Linked DNA regions of Rattus norvegicus. The protein of the gene in region 6 interacts with the protein of the main gene of each other region in a pairwise test. Links are inferred from orthologs where the notes say so. Each region holds a gene or a part of one and is shown on either strand. Other genes may lie near its edges. The genes, in order: Mapk1ip1l, Mvk, Fxr2, Khdrbs2, Atpaf2 and Ewsr1.

Region 1 (4,053 bases), on a different chromosome or scaffold from region 6:
CATCCTCAAAGTTTAAGAAAGCTAAAAATCCATTGGGTTATTGATGATAATTGGCAAGCAATTCAGAGAAACTAAGGAAAATCAGGACTTTTGTGATTTTTGTATGGGTGAGTGTGATAGTGTTAATTCTGAGATTCACCAGCGAAAAACCAATCACACTATTTTGGGCCAAATTTGAAGGAAGCTTTATTAGGTATTAAATACTGACCAAGCGATGGGCTTTGGTCAGGAACACTTCCTAGAACTTCCAGCTCAGTGGCCTGGAGACACATGTTGTAGGGGTTTTTATGGACAAAACTCACTGGCACCATTCTTTCCCACAAGGCTTTATTATTTCCCAAGAACTACTCTTAGCATTCCAGGAAGTTACTGGGTCCTTGGATGGGTGGGGCTTAAAGGTTAATTTTGAGTACTACATTAGCATATATTATATTGAAAGCAGATTCTGATTAGAATTGTTAGCATTTAGTACTGGGTAATTTACCAGATTATATTCCATTTTATAACTGGGTACCTAAAAAAGTTTGGAATGTTTTTGAACACCTAAAGTTCACAGTAGAAGCTCTTATAATTTATTCCGACTCACTGGAACACAAGTTCCAATCCTGCTGGGCTTTAGAGTAATTGGTGGCATGGCATGGGCATTCTTGAGAAGTGGTGTCTCTGTAGATTGGAATAAAAGTAAGAGTAGAAGGTTAAAGACAGGCTCCAGGGTAAGATCAGTTTGTATAAAACCAGAGAGAACAGTCTGTGGAAAAGCAGAAGCAGTTCGGGTTGGCTGGAATACCAGAAAGCAGTAAGAAGTTTTAGCAGAGGGCTTTGGACAAGAGTCCTAATACTTTAGCTCACTTGACCGAGTCAACTTCAGTTTCTTCATAAAGTTAGAGTAGGCGGTGATTCGTGGAACCACACAGGGCTGCATCTGACCCAACTAAAACTGGAAGACGGAATGAGCAACAAATACCCAATTCTCTCCTCTTGTGATTTTTAACATTTTAAAAAGGTATACATGGGTTTGCTCACCTCCATGCAGGTTCCCAAGAAGGCTAGAGGCGCTGAATTCCCTGGAGTTAGGAAGCTGTGAGCTGCCTCATGTGAATGCTGGGACAGAACTCCAGTCCTCTGCAAGGACAGCGATGGCTTTCAACCTGAGCCATCTCTCTCCAGCTCCTCTTTCTCACTCATACACATAGAACAAAAAGACTACCAGAGTAGACTGCCTGTCTGGCCTACCGTCAAATCCAGGTCTCTGAGTCTTATACGTAAGAGTAAATGGGTATTTTTCCACAGATTTGCTGAGCCTTATAGAAATCTATAAATAAATCTTTTAAGTCACTGCCTGACACTGAGCAAAAAACTCAACAAAGATTAGCTTTTAAAACCGATACAACATGGCCCCAAACCTTTGTCTATTTTCAAAGCAGAAAACTTTAAAAAATATACAATCTCCTAAGTATTTATTTGGTGGCAAAAGCTGACCAGACATTATTTATCCATTTCGTTTTCCACTCACCCCCAGCTGTAGTCTGAATATTTACGATATTTGCATTTTTTCATCCCCTAAAGTTTTGGGAATTTAGGACCTTGTAGCAAGCCAGGCTGGCGCTTTATCACCTAACTCCAGGCCCACCCTGTACAAATACTAATAACTGATTAACAGTCCCCGAGTCTATGGCTGTTACTGCCCCTCTATACTAACAATCACAGAATCTGAACACTGCTGAATTCCTAAGCTTACTGGCCCCAAAGGCTCAACCTCTCAGTTAGGAGAAAGAAGCTGGGCACCGATTCCTTCTGTAATCAAAAAAGGAACATTCTAACTTCTGCAACTGCATTAAAAAGTTTTTGAAGCAAATTGTTTTAGAGAATGGCTCCTATACTCCACGAATGAGAAAACTGCCCTCCTCCCCACCCAAGGAGACCCACTAACAAAGACTTCTGAAGGCGACTCGGTAATGAGGGTTTGGCTTCAGAACAGGCCTTTAACACATGGGGGATGGAGGGGCCCAACACGTGTGTATTTCTGTGAAGTAGGCTGTAACATATCTACGGTGGGGCCTGGTTTTGATACTTCAACTTCAGGATTAGTGAAGACATTACTTTCGGTTTTCAAGGCAGGGAGGGAAAAAAAAAAATGGTTCAAGCGTTCTAGCTGAGCCCAGATCCTTCAAAAGGAAAACGTCACTCAGCCCATGGCATCTTCTGTCCCGGGTAGTCATTTAACGAATGGGTAATTACGAACAGCAAGAATCCTGTCACACAGAATTATCAGGCGCCAGACCTCCCCGTAAGGGTCTCCCCTCCACTGCCGTTTTTTATTAGAAATTAGTGACTAGGATATTGGTGGAAGGGGTGCCAAACAAGCTGCCCTTTAGGGTTAAGGGAACAAAGGGAATCCGGGATCAACCGGAGCGAACCAGCCCCAGGCCGGTCACGCCGGCGGGATGTGGGGGAGGGTCGCCCGCTCCCGCCCTACCCCCCAAGTCTGGCATGATGTGGGCGCCCCGGAACCCGACAGGAGCGACATTAGACCTCTAGGTCGCCTGGTCCCCGGTGGATCCTCCCCATCGAAAGCTCTAGAGCCTCCAGGCCCCCGGGGACCCCGCGTCTTCGCATCATCTCCCCCCAAGCCTCGCGCCCCACCGCAAGCGCCCGAGCGGACTCACCCGGCAGGATCCGAGTCCTAGGCGCGGCACAGTGGCGACGGTGAATCCAGAGAGACGGGCAATGGAGAACCGCAGGAGGCCTGATGGACCGAGGCGGCACCGACACGGCTCCTCCCGGCACCGGAAAAGGAAGCAGGGAGGCTGGCCCCGCCGCCCGTTATTTCCGCCCGCCCCGCCCAGCTGCACTGCGCCTCCAGCGGGCTGCCCATGGGACTGCAGGCAGGGCCGCGTGGCTGCTGGGGCCTGGACTGTTTCCTCCGTGTGGAGCGCGGGAATGGGACAAGCCCTAGGCTGGTGATGCTCGCCGCATCCCAGGGGCTGCGAGCGCATTTTGGATTCCCTATGTTCAGCGGTTTTTGCAGACAGGCTCCAAGCTGACTGTCAGTAGTCCAGCTAAAATCGAGGGTAAAGAGATGAGGGAAAAGGGAAGTCTTTCTAAAGGTCTTGAGAATGAAAACCTTTGAAGAAGCTGTCTGCAGAAACCGAGTGGCCAATTAGAATTTCAGTACTGTGGAGAGATTGGAATGTTGCAGGTGCAGAGGTCGATTACCTTTTCTTGGGCTAGTGCTAGCCCTCCAGAACAGTCAACTGCGCGTCAAAACGAACATCTTGTGGCAAAAGGATTAAAAACTTTTAGAATCTATTAACAGGCAACTAGCTTCTGATAATCCAAAAGCCAAGAATGTCATCGGATAGTGTCTTAGATCTACAGAAAAGCTACCTCTATCTTGATGTATCTATCCTCCAATGTACCCGCCAGTGTGTTTTAAACTGCTTGGTTTATGGCATTCTCTGTTCTGTAAAGCTAAAAACGTCCTGATACTGGTTTCAGGTTGGGACATAGAATTTGAGGTAACTCAAATGTGTGTTCTGGGGTCATCCTCATTCAAAATGGCTCCAGAATAAGCTATCTCTTATTCCCCTTTAAGTTTTAAATTGAAAACAGTGGTTCTTAACCTGTAGGTCATGAACCCTTTGGGAGTCGACTCTTTCACAGGGGTTGAATATCAGATATTTATATTATTCAAAACAGTAGCAAAAAGTTATGGAGTGGCCATGAACTAATTTTTATGGTTGGGGGTCACCACAACATGAGGAACAGTATTAAAGGGTCACAGCATTACCAATGCTTTAAGATGAGGGTTGTTGGTTTTTGCGACTGGCTTCTGTTTCTGGGAGACTCAAAACTGACATACTGAAAAGCAAAGTCTGAGCATATACATAAACTTTCTAGTTTTTTCCTTCCTAGACTTTTGATTTGATATTTCGATGTATGTCAGTGTAGAACTAGAGTTTCATAAAGATTACTCATTGTCAGAGCCCGAATATGCAGAACTAGAGTTTCATAAAGGTTGCTCATTGTCAGAGTCCGGATGTGCAGGGCCGG
Region 2 (4,190 bases), on a different chromosome or scaffold from region 6:
TAGGAAGACCCACTCTGGGTGTGTATAGCACCATCCCCGGAGTTCTAGACTGAATAACGGGGAGGAGTAGAGCCATTCTTCTCTCTCTGCTTCCTGACTACAGAGGGAATGTGACCAGGTACCTTACACTCCTGCCAGGAGCCCAATGGACTATGTGGCTCAAACCGAGAGCCACAATACATACTCAAGTTGCCTTTGTCATAGCAACAAGAAGGGTAACTAACTCAACAGCTTAACATTTTTACTCTACGGTGAGCCTGGAAGATCCACACACAGCAGTCCACAGAGATCCAGGGCACAGTTCTACATGTTTAAAACAAACTAGCTAGGTGTGGTGGAGCATGCACTTGAGAGAAAGAGGCAGGCAGATCTCTGTGAGGTCTGGTATCACAAACAAACAAAATTAAGTCCTGTACGAAGTGAATGAAGCCAATTTTCTGGGGTCGGAGGACAACATCGTTTTCTGGCTCCCCACAAGCAGCCTGAAGTAACCACTCTGTCTGTCACCCCTTCCCCACTTCCTTCAGGGGCCAGGCTCTTGTCATACCAGGCTCCCCCTCTTTGTACTAACCAAGAAAGCCTGTGTCCAGCAGCTGAAGTGTGGCCACATCCCAGACCTGCTTAATACCGACGTTTGGTAAATTGAGGCTCACTTTCCCATTGCTCTGCGGTCGCAGCACGAGAAATGTTCTCAAGTTCAAGGCCACCGCCAGAGCTACCTGCAAAATGAAGGGCAAAACTGGTAAGCCTGAAGGTGAGGGGCTCACGGGCCAGCGGCCATACGTTCTGGAAGTAAAGATGGGAGGATCCTGGGGGGGTTGCTGGCCGCCTACCCTCCCCCATCCCAACAAACTCATGTAAGATTATGAGAAGGGCTGGCTCAAAATCCGAGGTAAACAGTGCCTCCTGAGGAATGATACCTCAGGTTGTCTCTTAGCCTAGACAGGCAGACAGACCTCAGGTTGTCTCTTAGCCTAGACAGACAGACAGACAGACAGACAGACACACAGACACAGACACAGACACACACACACACCCGCACGCACGCACACACACAAGACCGTAAAGGATGAGGGTTGGAGAGGGTGTAATGTGCTTGGTCAAGTTACCAACTCTCTCCTAAGCCTCAGCTTTATCTACAAAATAGAAGACTACACATCCGACCTGGGTTAGGGCCGAGGTTTAAATGAGATAATACAAGTATGCAACACTTCTACCACACCATCTTTCCAATTCCTCAACACTGCAATGTTCCCAGAGTCCAGTTCTCTAAGCTCTTCCCCCTCCACCAACACTCACTTCCTGGGTGATTCCACCCAACCTGTAGGTTTTTTTTTTCCCGGAGCTGGGGACCGAACCCAGGGCCTTGCGCTTGCTAGGCAAGCGCTCTACCACTGAGCTAAATCCCCAACCCCCTGTTTTTGTTTTTTAATGATTTATTTATTTATCTTATGTATGTGAGTACACTGTCACTGTCTTCAGACACACCACAAGAGGGCATCAGATCCCATTACAGATGATTGTGAGCCACCACGTGGTTGCTGGGACTTGAACTCAGGACCTCTGGAAGAGCAGTCGGTGCTCTTAACCACTGAGCTGTCTCTCCAGCCCATCTCTGGGGAGTTTTTACCTTGCCATGGACCACAGCATGTTCTCCATGGAGAATGACTTTCCCTGGAGCAGACACCAGCAGGACTTCTGACAACATGGCTCCTGAGACTCCTGAAAGAAAAAGCAGCAGAGAGGAAAAACAAAGTTTCCTAGATGTTAGCTACAAACACCAGGAAGGTCCACACCTTTAATCCCAGCACTCAAGAGGCAGAGGCAGGTGGATCTCTTTGGGGGTTGGAGGCCAGCCTAGTCTACAGTGTGAGTTACAGGACAGCCAGCGCCATATAGAGAAACTCTGTCTCTTCGTGGAACTACCATCCAGAACTATGTACCAGGATGACAGGGCAGTGAGCCAGTCAGCTGGACAATGGAAAAAAATCTGGATTCAGACACTGGCCCTTCCGTCCCCAGCATGTCTTAGGAAAACTGCCATGAATCTGTTTCCCACAAATCAGCTAATAGAGACAACACTGAAGACTGATTCAAAGGACCAGAAGCAGCAGGACCTGTCAGTCTGGCAAAGTAGCATCTATACCACAGAGAGCTACAAGGTAATGACGGGACTATCCCTGCTGCTGGTAGAAACTGACATGACCTCCGAGTGCACGGCTCAGTCGTGGAATGCTTGCCTAACATGAGGGCGGTTATGCGTTTGATGGTATGGAAACGCGAGGTTTACATAAAATCTTGCAAAAGAAAGAATTCTTCCAGGACATGAGGCCACAACCAACCTGTCACAGTTATACACAAGGCTGCGGGGCTTACCTGTTACACCTCGTGTTGCACATTTAAACAATAACTTGTGCAAGGCAGAGTCTCACCAAGTGCTTTTGCTGGATTTATGGGTGCACGCATTTTACATTGTTATAAATAACGCAAAGTCACCCGGTTCAAGGCTTCACTGGAACTCCCTTGCACTGGCCACCCCACTGCATACTCAGTAGCCACCGAGACCCCAGTCTACCGGGAACTGTCCGACCTGAGGTCGCCGACCGCTGGGATCGAGAAAACTAAGACAGAGGACCGCGGCGCCCGGCCCAGGGTGTCCGGGACCCAACCCTCACATCACCCAACCCGCAGTCCAGGCCTCTCACCTGCCCCGGCCAGCGCCCAGGTGAGCCGAAACTCCGGCAGTAGCTCCCGGTCTTCTCCATATCAAAGGGCAGAGCCCCAAGGAGGCAGGCGTGTCTTCCTCCGGCCAATCAGAGAGCTTGAGTCGAGGTTCCCTTTACGGATTGGGTCGAACATTGACCAATGGGAATTTCAAACAAACGGAGATTGCCCCGCCTCTTTCTAATCGTCATCCAATGGGAAACAAGTCCCGGGGGTTGCCCCGCCCTGGTGCGAGTGCCACAGGCCAATAGGAAACAGCCATTGAGAGGTGGCGCGGCCGGCTGCGGGGCGGAGTCCTCCGCGGGCCTGGACGGGTGCCTGGTTGGGTCAGCCCTGGACGCGTTACCGTACTCATGGCTGTGTGGACCTTTGGGGGCCGCCTCGGCCTGCGCGGGCGTCTCGGCGGGTGCAGGCTGCTGTGTCCCCGTTTCCAGAGCTTTGGCCCTCAGGGTGGGGAAGACGGGGACAGGTGAGTTTCAGGCTGGGAGAGTAACTCAACACGAGGTGTGAGGAGAATAGTTATTTTGTTTCCGTGGGCATGTCACACTGATGACGTGTTCTCTGTGGCCTGACGTCATCGGGGTCAGCATGGCGTCAGAGGTCAGGATTTCCTGCACAAGTTTTAAGGCAGTCCAGCAGGAGTCAGTCGGGGCAGGGGATGTCTTTGTGGGTTTTGTCCAGCCTCCCAGGCAGTTTATTTGGATTACAATTAAGATACCAGGAAGACATGGTAACACTTTGAAACTTGCATCAGGATTTACAGATTACCATGAGCTCATAATCAACATTTCCGCTCCAGTCCTCTGACTTTCCAACAACCTTGAGAATTCACATTTTACTTTTAAGCTATACATCTAAGCTGTGCACTGTTTGAAAATGGAAGACTCCTGAGGGCTCTGGAGCAAGAACTGGGGATGTGGCCTGGTGGTACACTGTTTGCCTAGCTTGCCTAAAGGCTAGGGTTCAGGCTCAGGCCTCAAAAAAAAAAAAGTTTTTAAGTGAAAACAGCATTTTTGAAATTCCATTTTGACAGTGCCTTGACACTCAACACCTTAGAAAATGCAAGTGGCCTGGTTTTCTTTCCCCAAGAAGCCCTAACTTTGTGGTAGAGGGTTGGGGTTAGGGTAGACGAGAAGCAAGAGTTTGGGGAGGCTAATGGTCCAGGTCAGGTTTACAGTAGAAGAGTTTTGGATGTGAATCCCAGCCCAGTCTCTTCCTGGAGATCTAGGAGGCTGAATCTTTGTGGGCTCCAGTTTCCTCAAAGGAGAAGCTGAAGAGCAGTTCGAGGAGCTAGTGACTTTAGTCCACTGTGGAGCGTGGGCTACGTGGAGTGATTGGATAGTCCTTTTAGCCAGTATTTGTGAAGCATCTTCATTGAGACATGCACTACAGCACCCACTGTAAGGGTAGAGACAGGGACAAGAAGCTGTCTAGAAGGGACAGCGGGGAAATGGCTGACAAGAGAT
Region 3 (3,500 bases), on a different chromosome or scaffold from region 6:
AAGGGAGTGGGTGACCTTGGGACAAGATCCCACCCCAGCTAAGTTTAGGTTCAGGCATGGTGGTACACGCCTTTAATCCCAGGAGATCTGAGTTCAAGATCAATCTACAGAGCAAGTTCCTGGGCTGGAGAGATGGCTCAGTGGTTAAGAGCACTGACTACTCTTCCAGAGGTCCTGAATTCAAATCCCTGCAACCACATGGTGGCTCACAACCATCTGTAATGGGATCAGATGCCCTCTACTGGTGTGTCTGAAGACAGCTACAGTGTACTTATATATATAATAAATAAATCTTAAAAAAAAAAAAAAAAAAAAGAAGTTAGAAAACCAAAAGCTGGTGATGGTGATGATGTAACAGAACAAGGGGGCCATGTTTCAGCCCCAGCAAGCAGCAGAACTTTGGCAACTTCAGTCATATGTATCTGGCTTTGTAGTCAAGAGGAAACTACTGGGAAATTGATGCTGGTTAGCTAGAACTAAGAAATTAGAGGTGACTAAGAAGAGACCAGCACTAGGCCGGAGAGATGGCTCAATGGTTAAGAGCATTAGTGGGCTGGGGATTTAGCTCAGTGGTAGAGCGCTTACCTTGGAAGCGCAAGGCCCTGGGTTCGGTCCCCAGCTCCAAAAAAAAAAAAAAAAAAAAAAGAGCATTAGCTATTCTTCCAGAGGTCCTGAGTTCAATTCCCAGCAGCCACATGGTGGCTCACAACCATCTGTAATGGGATCTGATGCCCTCTTCTGGCGTGTCTGAAGACAGCTACAGTGTACTTGAAAGAAAGAGAAAGAAAGAAGCAAGCAAGCTACCTAGCTACAGTGTACTTTGAATGAATGAGTGAGTGAGTGAGTGAATGAATGGATAGATAGAGATAGATAGATAGATAGATAGATAGATAGATAGATAGATAGGAAGGAGACCAGCATCACTGAGGTGAAATCTTCTGGGGAGTGTTTTCTGAGAGCACAAAGAAGCTATATTCTAGAGATAGCCAAGGTTGTACCTCAAAGCTGTACTTGGTAATGGATGGGGCGTTAGAGAGCCAGAGCCATGGGCTATCTGCTGAGGAAAGCTGCTAACAGGGAATGGAACCAGCCCAGGAGAAAGAAGTTTGTTGCAGTCAACAAAGATGAAAAGGAGTTGGAGATCTGAAGACCACATTGAGATCAGACATGGAGATGCAGGGTTTGGAGTTTGCCTGGCTCATTTCCAGTCTTTCTTTGGGGATTAAGGTTAAGTGAGTGGATAAATCTCAGAAGAGACCTTGAACTTTGGACTTTTAACACTGTTGAGACTGCTATAGACTATGGGGACTTTGGAAGTTGGACTAAATGTATTTTTTTTTTCGGAGGTGGGGACTGAACTCAGGGCCTTGCGCTTGCTAGGCAAGCGCTCTACCACTGAGCTAAATCCCCAACCCCCTAAATGTATCTTTTATTATGCTATGTGTAGGTATGACCCCCAAAGACTCATGTGTTTGAACAAGCCTATGGGGCCAGGGAGTGGAAATGTGACAGTTTGTATATGCTCTGGCAGGGAGTGGCCACCCTATTAGGAGTGTAGCCTTGGGGTTGGGGATTTAGCGTGGTAGAGCACTTGCTTAGCAAGCACAAGGCCCTGGGTTTGGTCCCCAGCTCTAGGGAAAAAAAAAAATTTTTTAGAAGTGTAGTCTTGGGGCTGGGGATTTAGCTCAGTGGTAGAGCGCTTACCTAGGAAGCGCAAGGCCCTGGGTTCGGTCCCCAGCTCCGAAAAAAAGAACCAAAAAAAAAAAGAAGTGTAGTCTTGCTTGGAGTGGGGTATGTCGTGGGCTTCTTCCTAGCTGCCTGAAAGCCAGTCTTCCCTCCACTAGCAGCCTTCAGATGAAGATGAACTCTCAGCTCCCCCTGCACCATGTCTGCCTGGACACTGCCATGTTCCAGCCTTGATGATAATGGACTGAACCTCTAAACCTGGAAGCCAGCCCCAGTTAAATTTTGTCCTTGTATGAGTTGTTTTGGTCATGGTGTCTGTTCTCAGCAGTAAAACACTAAGAATTCTAGGCCAGGAGACCAGTGAGACCCTGTTACAAAGCAACATTGCTGGGCAGTGGTAGTACATGCCATTAATCTCAGCACTCCAGGGTCAGAGACATGTGGATTTCTTTTGAGTTCTAGGACAGTCAGGGCTATACAGAGAATCTCTCAAAAACAAAAACCTACAACAGAAACAAAATCAAACTTTTTAAAACCATACCAAAACCATGATAGAATACTGTCCTCTGAAAATTATGAGATAAAATAGGATTAATGGCCTAGCAGCTTTTGTGTATGTGTTTCAAAAACAAAAGGAAAAGAAAAAGGAAAGAACATTTTATTATTATTATTATGAGAAACAGCAGCCAAAACTTACCTCTAGGTGCTTAGTAGCTTCTTCATTGCGGGACATGAGCAGCAATTTGGTACGAAGGCTTCGGAAATGCATGTCACCCAGCAAAGATGCCCTCTTCACAGGGGCTTCTGTGGTTGACTGAGGAATGATGAACAGGATGTATAAAAGCAAAATACATGGCTCAGAGACGGAACCCTAAGACAAGTGGCTTAGAGGTTAAGAGAACTGACTGCTTTGGCAGAGGAGCTAGGTGCAATTCTAAGCACCTACATGGCAGTTCACTTGTCTGTAACTTCAATTCCAAGAGATCGGACACCCTCACGCAGACACACATCTAGGCAAACCAGCAACACACATAAAATAAAAAAAAAAAAAAAAAAAAAGCAAAATACACACCAGGGAAGCATTAGGGACTTGGCATCAGAATGTCAGAGTCCCTGAAAAAGGGCAGGTGTCAAGAAATGAAGTTGGATTTTTGTTTGTTTTTCAAGACAGGGTTTTCCCTGTGTAGCCGTGGCTGTCCTGGAACTCTCTGTAGACCAGGCTGGCCTTGAACTCACAGAGATCCGCCTGCCTCTGCCTGCTTCCTGAGTGTTGGGATTAAAGGCGTACACCATCACCACCTGGCAAGAAATGAAGTTTAAAATAAGGTGGTAGCATGGGCTGAAGGGATGGCTCAGTGGTTAAGAGCACTGACTGCTCTTCCAGAGGTCCTGAGTTCAACCTATGACATCTGGTGACCTCTTCTGACCTACAGAAAATGATGTATATATTCTTAAAAGGAAAAATAGAAAAAAGGGGAAAAAAAGGTGGTCATGCCTACCTCAAAACTAGGGAAGGTAAAGCAGGAAAAGTGTCACAAACTCAAGGGCAGCTTTAGTGAGTAACAGGCCAGCCAAGAGTAAACAAGAAGAGTAAACTTGTCTCAAAGGAAACATAAGGGGTTGGGGATTTAGCTCAGTGGTAGAGCGCTTGCCTAGCAAGCACAAGGCCTTGGGTTCGGTCCCCAGCTCCGAAAAAAAAGAAAAGGGAAAAAAGAAGAAGAAGAAGAAAAAAAAAAGGAAACATAAAAGAAATGAGGTAGGCTACGTGAAAACCATTGTTAGTCACATAGAAACTGAATAGCTAAATACTGACA
Region 4 (4,032 bases), on a different chromosome or scaffold from region 6:
CAGATTCAGAAACGTCTTCCGTAACAAACGGCTAACTACATAAAACTGTAACTACAGTATGGAAGTTATTTTAATCAAATGCATTATGCAAAACCTTTAACCCATATTATTCAAGATCTGCCATGACTAACAGTCAAAATCACAAATTATTTGTTTTTAATTTTTTTAAATATGACCCCTACTGAAAACACAAACCAGAAACAAATGGACTGAAATACAATAAAAACAACCAAAAGAGGTCATTTGCAGCCCACAGCCTTGCACACTAAATGAAGCAGGCACAAGTGAGGAGAGGTTTGTGTCTGTCACTAAGGAGAAGGCAAAGTAAGGCACTGTGAGAGCTCAGTGCTTCTAGAAACTCATCCCAAAGAATGGAATCATCTGGATCATTTTTATTGCCCACCTCAGTCTCAAGACTGTCTGCACAGCACTGCTGACGTGCACTCCAGTGTGCACCTTCCTTCCCTTGGAGTATGTGTGTCAAGTTTATTTATAGACAATGCCTTCGAATGCAACGTTTCCAGGTATGAGAAATAAAATCTCTACGGTGATCCTAGAAACCTTCACAAATAGCCTTTGAGAAGACAATGGAAAAAAATCTATAATGCAACACGTGCATTATGATTCGCTGAGACTCCAAAGCACACTCACCTTTCACTCTAGTGAGCATGTGTAAAGAGGCGGGTAGAGTTACAGAACTGATGTGGGCCCTGGACGTCTTTTTATGGAACTATCTGACTACTCTAGGATTACCGCCGCCACCTCTTTCCTCCTCTTGTTCTCTTTTCTCATTAGGAATTCTCTGAAATTTAGGCACCCTCTTTGTTTCTTAGTGAGATGCTTTTCTAGCCAGGAGCTTTTTTAAAATAACCCATTACAAAAGCAGGCCATGCTTCCCCCTGCTGGGAAAAAATTAAATTACAAGGTGCATTAGAACAATTTTCCTAAGTCTCAAGCAACCTTGTGTTTGGGAAAGAAAGAAACAGCAGGAAAGCAGATACTTAGTGGTCTCTTAACTGTTTCACTGGTCAAGAATATGCACCACACCTCACTCTAGTAAGGCTTTTATCTACATCTTTTAGTTCTGTAAGTTTTAAAAGTACAATTAATACACATTAATAACCGATGGGCCAATTATTGAACCCTCTGTCCCAAAGAGAGCTCCGGTTATCAGGTCAGAGAAGATTATGAATCTGTTTTCATTGCTCATTGAATGGAAACACTTCTGAAGAACGGAGTGAAGCAAACAATCAAAGAATACAGTTTTAATCTGTCCATGTTTATTGAGTCAATATCTTCCGATATGCAGCCGTTGTTCTCCAACGGCAGAGAAGAGCGTCGTTCATGACTTTAGTTTTTCAGTTTCATTTATTATCATTTGATTATTAGGTTGTGGTATGCAGGGTTGCATTTCACTGCCTAACTACAAAGCCAGCTTCTCCCCGTGAAAACAGTGTGAGTATTTAGAATCTTCCACATTTTTCCTGGCAGTCTTTCACGAGATACTTTGTTATTACGGGTTATAATAAATAGCAACCGCTAAAAATGCCAAAGTAAATCTAATGTCTCTGAATCATCTGAGGAGTAAATTTTTTCCTAAGATGCACAACTAAATCTCAAATGTATTTTAATGCTGAGGAGCTGGAAGAGAGAAAGATGTCACTGATTCTTCTAGTGGGTAAGACCTCAAGATCCTAAGCTGCAGGGTAGCCAGTCTGAGGAGGAAGCACTTCATCACTAACGAAACGTTCATCCAAAAATTCAGCAGTCGTGTTAAATTGGAGAGTGCAGGGTACCAGGTACCAGAGATGACTTCACTTGCTACCATTGCTTCACATAGATGGAATAATTGGGGTTAATATTTCTGATGGAGAAGTTTTCATGTGCACCTTTTCTCAAACGACCTCTCAAAGCAATGCAAAAGGCAAGACATAGATGTTCCTCTGGGAAACGAATCTCCGCTACAACACAGGTACACAAAAGAAAACGCACACCTGGTTTAAAAACCAGTTGGTCAATTATGGAGCGTTCCGAGGAACCAATATCTTGCATACTACCCAGCCATCACGTTTCGAATACGTTTATAAGCACTTTAGCCTCTGCTTACCATGCTCACATAAATATACGAACATGCATACTTTACTGTTGATTAATTCTAAGACTTTCCAGGGGGAAATAGCAATTAAAGGGTATTAAAATCACTTCGAAACATAGAAGGAAAAAAATACAATAAATAAATAACGCTGATCTGTGACCAAGATGCTCTCAGAACACTCCACGGATCTCATTTACTCCTGTACTGCTTTTGCTGTCTTCTGCAAAGTGAAAAGGTACCGATGAGCCACCTGACACTTGCTGGTTTCCCTGTCCAGGACCCTAACAGGTCGCACCACCCTGCCATTAGACCTCAGGGCTAATTGAGCCTCGGAAGAGCCTGGCCAGCAGCGCTGCGCTCCAGCATTCGGAAGCAGCTCTCAGAGACAGTTTCTACCCAGCGGAGCGCTCGCCCTCCCCAACTTCGCCCTGTCGGGGCTGGCGGTCGCCGGGGCCGGTCCTACCTTCCGCCAGAAGGCGCGACGCGTGCACAAAAGATGGATCAAGGCTATCCTTCTCTGCCATCAGCTCAGGCAAGTATTTCTCTTCTCCCATAGCGCGGACTTCGGACCGTGGCCGGCCAGGCGCAAATCCCGCCTGCTCGGACGCCTCGGTCCCTGGTTCCCCCAGGAACCGTCCTTCCTGCGGTGAGCGCAGCTCTAGCGCCTCGGGCTGCGCAGACCGCGCTGGTACCTGCCTCTCCCGCGCCCCAGCCTGGCTCCGGCCGCGGCCTCAGCTGGAGAGGATGCCCGCGCGGCCCGCCCCCGCCAGCCTCCTATTGGAAGCGGGGTCCGGGGGCGGGGCGCCCGCGGAGGCGGTGGACTATCATTGGCCGGGGCCTCACGTCGAGTCGCCTGAGTGGCAGGAGGCTGCTGCGGAGGGGAGGGGTGTACGAAGTGCAGGAGCACTCTCCAGGCCGCCTTTGCGGTCCCGGTTCTCAGGCCTGGCCAGTGCTGTGGAGTAGGGGCTGACTGTTAGGCAGGCAGGATGGTGAGAGAGGGAGAAATTGCGCTCCAGGAACACAGAAGTGAGCACTTCACCAGGGTCCCCACAGCACAGGTGTCTCTCCCCTGGCGGATCGCAGGCTCATGGGCAGGGTTGGAAATCCGAGGCAAAATGTGGGCTGTGTTTCCCATGACCTACATCATGAGGCAGAAGGATGTCCACTGATGTACAAATGAAGAAGTGCCTGGATTCTATACTAGAGCAAAACGCTTCCAGTGTACATCACCGTAATACAGAATTAGTTCTAGGGATCCACCCATCCCTGTGGTGGAAAATTTGCTCACTGTGTAAACTTAGCGGGGAGGATTGTGAATGAAAGAAGCTAGATGGTGTCTAACTTCTGTCACTCTGATGTTCTCATATTTTAAACCTGATTGAGTCTCTTTCCCTGCCTTGGGAATGTTGCTAAAATATTTTATATCTCCCCTACCTTTATTCAAATGAGCATTTTGCCCCCAAGGATCACCAAGAAAGGAGGAAAAAATGTTTCCTCCCCTTACAGATGGGACCCCTGAATTGTACCTTAAATACTTCAAATGAAAGGAGTCTTTTCTCACTTTGAGGTTGTCTTTCCCCTAACATTCCCTTGTCAATTCTTCTACCTGTTCAACTGGGTAACTTTCCGGGTATATAAAACCTACTGGACGTTTCCTAACTTCTCTTATTCTATCCACAGTGTTCCTGTAATGGTTTATTTTAGATGAACTTGGGATATTATGTTGACTTTGTGTGACATTTTGAAAAGTTATCATGTTTCATATCCAGTAGATAACTCACTCCAGCTCCCAAAAACACTGAGCAACAAGGGCCCAGAGATAACCAGATTTTGCTTCTGTAGTTGATGTAACATACCTCATAGCTGTGCCTAAGCTGAGGAGAAAATTCAAATCTAACCAGGAGGAAGCTTCAGGAGGCAGGGTTTACCCTACCCTC
Region 5 (4,288 bases), on a different chromosome or scaffold from region 6:
TCAGGAGACAAGGTCTTAACACTAAGTGGTGCAACTGGAGATATCTGGGTGTGAGTACCTGGTCTTTGGGGAGCCTTAACCTTTGTGGGTTGTTTCGGCCAATGGAGGGAGGTTGCCCACCTCGCCCCGGTCGCCCCGAGAGCAGCGGGCTGACTGAGTTCTCCAAACTCAAAGGAGCAAGGTCCCTGGCACTTTGGATGGAGTTAGGGTCAGAGGAAAAGCTTCATTCTGGGAGAATGTGACACTGGCCGCTACTGAGTTTGGGGCAGCCAATGAAGAGTTTTTCAGGATCCGACAGGGATTGGTGGGAGGGCTGGCTGGTGTAGGGAGGACAGGACAGGACTTGGGAAGAACCGACCCAGGCTAAAGGACGGCTAGTCATGGGGGTGCTTCCGGATCCCAAGCGGGAGAGTCAAAGGCTCCAAGTGTGGGACAGTCTTCGGGGTCTGTCGGAGGCTGGCCGCTACAGGCTCTGAGTCTAGGGGTGGGTTAGGGGTAGGGTTCGAGAGTGTGACATCAGCTGGGCAGGTCCCGGTGGGAGGCGCCGGGTGCAGGAGGCCCCGGCAGTGAGGGCCTGGTCCGCGGCTGAGGGCTCGAGGAGCCCAGGGCAGGCCCGGCCCGTGAGCGCCGCGAGGAGGCCCTCGGGCCGGGCCTTGCCGCCTGGCGCTCACCTGCAGCACCACCTCTACGTCGTACGAGTTCCCCTTGCTCTTCTGGTGGCCACGGAACTTGGAGCCGCTGTAGAGCAAGCTGGTGGCCACGCCGGGCTGCTGGGTGTTGATGGGCGGCGGCGGGATGAGTGAAGCCGCGGATGTGGCTGAGGCACCCGCCGGCGGGGGACACTCGGTGCGGACCGGCATCGCGGGGTCCCCCGGAGCCAGGGCTGGGGGAGGGGGAAGGAACCGCCGCCGCCGCGCGGGAGCCGAAGCTGCGGGGAGGGCGGACCCGGGCGCGCACGCGCGGGGGAGGGGCTGGGGAACCACCCGCCCGCTGCCGGCTGACCGAGCGCTCGTGTCGCCACCTGGACCCCGAGACCTGCAAGCAGGGCCTCCCAGTCCTGAGCTGGGCTCCCCTTCCCACTTGCCCTCGCGGGCTCACACATACACACACACACACGCACACATGCACACACACACGCGCACACACTCACTCATACACACACGCGCGCACACACACATACACACACACACACACACACTCGCGCACACACTCACACACATACACACACACACACACACACACAAACACACACACACTCTACTGCTTCCAATTGGCGCGGACCCGCCGGAGAGGCGGGAGCAAGCTCACGCGGCGCTTCCGCCCATTGGCAGACAGAGAAAGCACGTGGTGCGGTGCGCGAATGGCCCTCTGGGACTTGTAGTTTTCTTCCCGTAGCGCGGCATGGAGGGGGCGGGGCGAGCACGCTTGTGATGCTGATTGACGGGGGCGGGGGCGGTACGCAGGGGGCGCGTGGCTGTGACGGCGTGCCGTAGGTGTCATGACGAAGATGGCGGCGTGCTGAGGAGGCTGAGGGCTTTGAACCCTTGGTGAGAGGTTTCCGTACGGAACCAGCGAGGCGTTTGGGGGACTCTCTTCGCTCTATTCCTGTACTGTTTTCACGTATGGGTCCACCCAAACCCTTGGGCATGATGTGGCGAATCTACCCCCGGCTGAGGGACCGGTGGCGCGGTCTCTTGGACCGGCCTCTCGGTGACCCCACCGTTTCATTGTGGCCGGGGCCAGCTCTGAGGCCTCCAGCCCGGGCCTACGTCCCGCCAACAGGTGAGGCCCGGACTTCTGTTACTTTTTGTTCAGGAGCCAAGTCGGGCTCACCTGGCGGAAGGTTTCCGACGTGCAGTGCGGGGTGACTGAGGCAGGGTTCAGGCCCATGAGAATATTCAGAGTAATAGAACTCTGTTTCAGTTTGAAAAATGACATCCAAACCAGTGCGGGAGTGACTTTAGGGGACACAGCGTTTCCAGGGTAGGAGATATTTGGCTGAGGCTTCTCTCAGTTTCCTTTCTTTTTCTTCGCCTTTTGCTTGTTTCATTTTTCAAGACAGGGTTTCTCAGTGTAGCCCTGGTTGCCCTGGAACTCACTCTATAGATCAGGCTGGCCTCGAACTCTGAGATCCTCCTACCTCTAGTTCCGGAGTACTGGAATTACAGGCGTGCACCTGGTTCAATTTTTTCCTTTTAAAGGGAAACAGGAGTTCGTTGATTTCAGAAAGGAAAATCTAGGCTTTCAATCAGGACTTCCAAGGTCACAGAGCAGACTGGTTGAAGTTGTGGAGGCAAAGATTAGCTTGACTGCTTTTTGTCTCCAGGACCCAGCCAACACAAGACTTGGCACAGAGCAGGCTGGCTTTAAGTCTAACACCCTCACACACTTCCTTAAGGGTTTGCAGGCCCTCTGTCCTAGTGCAGTGCCACGACCTCTGCATTCTCTGCAGCCTTCTCTATAGTGACGCTTTATACCAGGCTTCTTTGACCTACTAAGGACTGTAATCCTGAAAGAAGGTTATCTCATTGCTTCTGGAGTGAGATTTTACCAGTGAGGTTCACTTTGGTGAATGAAAAGTAATGATGGCCTCCCTCCCTTCGTTGGGTTACATGTTTTGTGTTGAGGGCACGTGGTCTCACCTGAATGGTACGCAACATCAGATGCAGGACTCATTATGCTCACTAAACAATAGTTTGCAATACACTGATGTGGGAAGTACGAAGGACTTGAGAGATCACAAGGATGAGTGTGTACAGGGTGATTGAAAGGGCATTCAAACTGGGGCTTGATAGATGAGTAAGAGGTTGCTGGGGGGGTTGGGGATTTAGCTCAGTGGTAGAGCACTTGCCTAGCAAGCGCAAGGCCCTGGGTTCGGTCCCCAGCTCCGAAAAAAAAGAAAAGGAAAAAAAAAAAAAAGAGTTTGCTGGGGGAGGAAAAGGGTGTAGCATGTCCAGAGGTGATGACTGGGTGTTAGAGATCTTGCTGCAACACTGCCCTCATTAGGCAACAATTCCATAGGCAGTTTGGCATTGGCAGAAGAGTACAAACCTTGGGTCTCTTGTTGGCTAAACTTCTGAGGTACTGTGGTCTTGGGCAGGTATGATGTTGTTTTCTTTGGTGATCTGAAGCATGAGATTGCTTTTAAGGATTCTTTAGGCTGTAAATTCCATAATTTTTTGTTTTACTTAGTATGTATATGTATATATGCCCTTGGCATGTGCATGGAGGTCAGAGGACAACTAGCAGGGGTTGGCTGTGGCTTTCAGGGATTGAACTGTGGATATTGGGTTTTGTGGTCAGTGTCTTTACATGGTGAGCCATTTCCATGGTCTATAACCCATAATCTTATATAAGTGGAAGAAGAGTGGATGCAGCAGGGAGCTGATTTTTACTTATCAGGACATAAACGAAGGCCTAAAAATGGGCTAGGAAGAAGCTTAGTGGTGTCACACACATGTATCAGCTGCTTGGGAGTCTGAGATAGGATCACTTGGGGTCATGGGGGAGGGGGAGGAGAACAGGGCTTGACTTCCACATATCTCATTGTGCCTCACTCATACATTCCTATTTTCTTTCACATTTGACTACCTACTATGTGCTAGATAACGCTAAGAGCCAACTGGTAAGTCTGTATACAAAAGAAAAGATGGCAGATCAAGCACTTCCATGTTGGAAAACAAAAAGTGTCTACTCGTTTAAATTAACCCTTTGCCTATTTAGTGACCTCCCGAATGTCTTTGTTTATGCCTTGCCTCCCTAGGATATGTTCTGCTCTCCAAGTCCTCACCAGGTGTGAGATGTTTCTGTGTATCTCTGAAGCATATAAATTATTAAGTCCTTCTTGATGAAGACTCTAGTTGTCAAGGTCTCTGAGGGACAGCCACACCATGGAAGGTTGTGTGGAGAGGAGGGACATTCGAAGGGCTCACTGCAGCATTACAGGAGGAGGTAGTGTGGTGCAGAGACCTTTGTGAGGCTGTGGCCACCCTCCTGTTTTCTGCCCAGAGGGAGATGTAGTTTGGAGAAGCAGCATTTGGGGCAAATTCCCAAAGAAATAAAAGCTTGAAGTCCTGTACAAATTGCCCCTCTGTCCAAGGCAGCTTCTCCAAGTTTCTGCCACTTTAGAGGCATTGCCTGCTTTGCCATCCTCATAGGCGTGTCAGGGACCAGACTTCTACCTGCTTTTGAAATAAAGTTTTATTGGAACACAGCCACATACTCATACATATTGTCTGATTTTGTTATATTGGCCAGAACAACCTAGAGTATTGACCTCTGCTCCAGA
Region 6 (3,500 bases):
CCAGCCCCATATGAACGAGGACCTGCATTTTAAAATCTCTACTTTTTGTGAATGAGCATTCTAACAACATGTGTCTATATACCGCTTATGTGCTGGATCTCTTGGAACTGAATCCAGGTCCTCTGAAAAGCAACCAATACCCTTAACCCCTATGCAACCTCTCTGTCCACAAGGAAGCAAACAGACGTGATGGCAAACTCCTGACTTGGCCAGAGCACACCCCAATTGATAGTACAACTCTATGTGCACGAACGCATGAGTCTGCCTCTCTTCCTAAACAACACACACACACACACACAGTGGCTGGGTGATTTGGGACACATTTTTAATCGTAGCACTCAGACGTTAGAGGAAAGGAGAATCTTGAGTTTCAAGAGAGATGGCTCAGCAGTTAAGAGCACTGGCTACTTTTCCAGAGGACCCAAGTTCAATTCCCAGCAACCACATGAAGGCTCATAACCATCTGTAATTGGATCTGATGCCCACTTCTGGCATGCAGGCAGAACATTATACAGACTAAATAAATCTTAAATCCCCCAAAACACCCCCCACCCCTATAACTAAACAAACCAAAACTAGCTAGACATGGTCGCTCAAGCACATAACCCCAGCACTTGGGATGTAGGAGTAGGAAGAGTAAGTTTAGTTCAAGGCCACCGTGGGAAGTAAGTTTAAGGTCCAAGCAGATTACACACAAAGAGGCTAACAAGGGGGCCCAGCAGGTAAAGGCACAGGCTGAAAGTCTGCAACCTGAGTTGGATCTCCAGCAGAGTAGAACTAACTGTTCTGCAAGTTGTCCCTTGACATCTTTTCTTTTTTTTAAAAAGAATTAATGTATGTGAGTACTCTGGAGCTGTCTTCAGACACACCAGAAGAGGGCATCGGATCCTATTACAGATGGCTGTGAGCCACCAGGTAGTTGCTGGGAATTGGAACTTAGGACCTTTGGAAGAGCAGTCAGTGCTCTTAACCACTGAGCCATCCCTCCAGTCCAAGATACACTTTTTCTAAATTAATAACTGAACAAAAATAATCACCCTCCCTCCTCCCCGATTTCCCTGTGTGGCCCTAGTTTGTCCTGGAACATGCTTATAGACTAGGCTGTCCTAAACTTAAGAGATCTACTTGCCTCTGTCTCCTTAGGCATGCACATCACACCCAGCCAATAATCAACATCTTAAATATAAAATACAAACGTAGGAATTTGGGGACCACTTTTCCCCAGAGTGGGTAAGGCAACAGAAAATCATTAACAGTACATGTTAAATGTGTGTGCATGCACAAAGAGCCAGAGAAAAAATCTTACAGAACCCATGGGCATTCTAGCACAGGATCTATGTTCAGTCTGCAGTACTGAGGTCAGACTTTTCAACTGCCTATAGCGCCAGTTTCATGACATCTGACACCCTCTTCTGGCCTCCTTGGGTGCCCACACCCATGTGGTACGGACATAAACTTAAGAGACACATAAACAGAAAGTATAATTTTAAAAGCCAACTGAACACCTTTAAGGCTTTAATATCAGAAAACATTATTTATTCTCAAACTGCATTATAAATTGTTAACCTGTATAGAGGACTGGTCACACCTGCCTCTACATCAATGCATGGATCCCACACCAGGGAAGACCAGACTCTCACAAGTTCCCTCTGACCTCCAGAGCTACTCTGTGCATCACACGCACAGGCCTGCCCACAAAACATGGGAGTTTTAAGATAACTGTAAAGAGAAAAAAGCAGAAGAACCAGACTTCCTGGGAATGAAGACTCAGGTAAACCTTTCAACAAAATGTCACAACAGGCCTGTAAACAGGGAAAAGAAAAACAAGCTAGCAAACAATAGGTGTGTCATCAAACCAAGGAGCAGGTGACCTCTGTAAGCTCCAGGCCAGCTAGAGCTACAGGATGAGGCCCTTTCTCAAAGGAAACTCCTAAAGCTCTGCTTCTCTGCCTTTTTATTCCCTCCCTCCCTCCCTCCCTCCCTCCCTCCCTCAGTGTTGGCATCAAAGGCACACACTAACCCCTCTGGCAAACCTTAGCCCTTATGCTAGGAAATCAATCTATAAAGATGTAAATGTCCCTCTTCTCTACATCACACAACGTGTTTTAGTGTTTTTTGTAATTATTTAAATTAAGTGATAATTTGGGGAAAAAAAGTCTCCAAGATATTAAGCATTCAGGGAATATTAAGAAAAATCACCTTTCCTCTTCATAACAGAAAAAGACAAGTTTATTTCTGAGAGAACAGCAGACTCAGTAACAGAATCACCAGCTGCCTAGCATTCTTCATCTACAAACATCTGGCTAAAGCTGGGTATGGTACACAAGACTGTAAACTGAGCATTTTGGGGTGGGGGATCGGGTAATCCTTTGCTACATGGCCAGATCGCATGAGATCTTGTTTTAAAAAAAAAAAAAAAAAAAAAAAAAAAAAAAAAAAAAAAACAGTAACAACCCAGATAACAAGGGGGCGGGTATTTATCTTGTAGTTCAACGCTCTTATCGAATGCATACCAGGCAGGTGCTCCACCACTAGCTCCTCCCAGCCCTCACACAGGGCTTGAATTAAAGAGTGTTTTAAGGAGTGAACGCAAGATGTCAACGAAACAGTCAAGGAACAATTCTCAGCACAGTCCAAGCATCTCAAATATGTTCCGTGGACCCAATTTCTGTTAGATCACCCAATCACTATCACTCACCTTGACAACCCCACACTGCTTAAAGAAGTCTGCCAGATCATCCAGAGTCACACTGTCATTTAATCCTTGCACATAAACTGCACTGTTGTCAGAGTCTTCATCGGGATCTATAGGAAGGCCTTCCAGAGAAAATGAGATAAAACACAATTACTGCTCTGAATTAACAGTGGCTTCTTTTTTTGGAGCTAGGCTGGCCTCAAACTTCTAATTATTTTTCAACCCCAGACACAGCCCATCAGGCCCAGATAATAATAAAGGCTTCTGGTCCAATCGGCCATTATTATCAAACAGTATTCATCACAATGGCAAGAGAATGAGCCGCACACTATACTGATAATAAGACGAAGTTTTTTGATTACTTTAAAACAATTTAAAGGAAGTCCCAAACTCCCCCCACCCCCAATGGGTCAGTGTACTGGTATCAGTCTGCTGAGCTGCTGGACTCTTGCTTCTATGGCATTCATTCAAAACAGCTCAGTTAAAGTTCAAGAACTTAAAGTTACCTAGATCGAGATCTGGTCCTTCATCCATGGGTCCTGCCAACCAGGAAAGATCATATAAAATATTGTTAGTGCAAGCCTTGCAAGCTACAAACCTTACAAACACACACAGCTATCTACTACACCACCATTTGATGGGGACTCATTAATTCAAAATGACCCGCACTGCTAAAATGGAGCAGTGGCCCTTTAGCGTTTGTGAGTTTGCTAGGGTTTTTTTTCCCTTTGCTCGTTTGTTTCTAAACCATTAACCAAATACACTCTCAATGCTTCATGTGCCGAATTAGTGTTAAATTAAATTC

What was found.
Region 1: the proteins of Ewsr1 (region 6) and Mapk1ip1l interact in binary tests that used the Homo sapiens proteins (3 or more experiments, as listed by UniProt). The link is inferred for Rattus norvegicus from reciprocal best matches to the Homo sapiens genes EWSR1 and MAPK1IP1L.
Region 2: the proteins of Ewsr1 (region 6) and Mvk interact in a two-hybrid assay, tested with the Homo sapiens proteins (2 studies listed by BioGRID and IntAct). The two-hybrid records come from large-scale screens. The link is inferred for Rattus norvegicus from reciprocal best matches to the Homo sapiens genes EWSR1 and MVK.
Region 3: the proteins of Ewsr1 (region 6) and Fxr2 interact in a two-hybrid assay, tested with the Homo sapiens proteins (2 studies listed by BioGRID and IntAct). The link is inferred for Rattus norvegicus from reciprocal best matches to the Homo sapiens genes EWSR1 and FXR2.
Region 4: the proteins of Ewsr1 (region 6) and Khdrbs2 interact in a two-hybrid assay, tested with the Homo sapiens proteins (2 studies listed by BioGRID and IntAct). The two-hybrid records come from large-scale screens. The link is inferred for Rattus norvegicus from reciprocal best matches to the Homo sapiens genes EWSR1 and KHDRBS2.
Region 5: the proteins of Ewsr1 (region 6) and Atpaf2 interact in binary tests that used the Homo sapiens proteins (3 or more experiments, as listed by UniProt). The two-hybrid records come from large-scale screens. The link is inferred for Rattus norvegicus from reciprocal best matches to the Homo sapiens genes EWSR1 and ATPAF2.

Annotation. Positions count from the first base shown.
Region 1 is NC_086033.1:23,023,515-23,027,567, reverse strand, and holds the start of Mapk1ip1l (MAPK-interacting and spindle-stabilizing protein-like), read right to left. Parts: upstream 2,801-4,053; 5' UTR 2,667-2,800; intron 1,123-2,666; exon of another isoform or gene 1,024-1,122; intron 1-1,023.
Region 2 is NC_086030.1:47,816,704-47,820,893, forward strand, and holds the start of Mvk (mevalonate kinase), read right to left. Parts: upstream 2,801-4,190; 5' UTR 2,706-2,800; intron 1,723-2,705; 5' UTR 1,709-1,722; coding exon 1,631-1,708; intron 720-1,630; coding exon 572-719; intron 1-571. Other genes in the region: corrinoid adenosyltransferase MMAB, read left to right, coding at 3,078-3,193. UniProt on the Homo sapiens protein: Catalyzes the phosphorylation of mevalonate to mevalonate 5-phosphate, a key step in isoprenoid and cholesterol biosynthesis.
Region 3 is NC_086028.1:54,859,669-54,863,168, reverse strand, and holds part of Fxr2 (RNA-binding protein FXR2), read right to left. Parts: intron 2,501-3,500; coding exon 2,384-2,500; intron 1-2,383. UniProt on the Homo sapiens protein: mRNA-binding protein that acts as a regulator of mRNAs translation and/or stability, and which is required for adult hippocampal neurogenesis. Specifically binds to AU-rich elements (AREs) in the 3'-UTR of target mRNAs.
Region 4 is NC_086027.1:41,941,838-41,945,869, reverse strand, and holds the start of Khdrbs2 (KH domain-containing, RNA-binding, signal transduction-associated protein 2), read right to left. Parts: upstream 2,801-4,032; 5' UTR 2,650-2,800; coding exon 2,559-2,649; intron 1-2,558. UniProt on the Homo sapiens protein: RNA-binding protein that plays a role in the regulation of alternative splicing and influences mRNA splice site selection and exon inclusion. Binds both poly(A) and poly(U) homopolymers. Phosphorylation by PTK6 inhibits its RNA-binding ability.
Region 5 is NC_086028.1:45,717,708-45,721,995, reverse strand, and holds the start of Atpaf2 (ATP synthase mitochondrial F1 complex assembly factor 2), read left to right. Parts: upstream 1-1,488; 5' UTR 1,489-1,622; coding exon 1,623-1,782; intron 1,783-4,288. Other genes in the region: Gid4 (glucose-induced degradation protein 4 homolog), read right to left, coding at 672-860. UniProt on the Homo sapiens protein: Plays a role in the assembly of the F1 component of the mitochondrial ATP synthase (ATPase).
Region 6 is NC_086032.1:84,184,096-84,187,595, forward strand, and holds part of Ewsr1 (RNA-binding protein EWS), read right to left. Parts: intron 3,235-3,500; coding exon 3,202-3,234; intron 2,818-3,201; coding exon 2,699-2,817; intron 1-2,698. UniProt on the Homo sapiens protein: Binds to ssRNA containing the consensus sequence 5'-AGGUAA-3'. Might normally function as a transcriptional repressor. EWS-fusion-proteins (EFPS) may play a role in the tumorigenic process.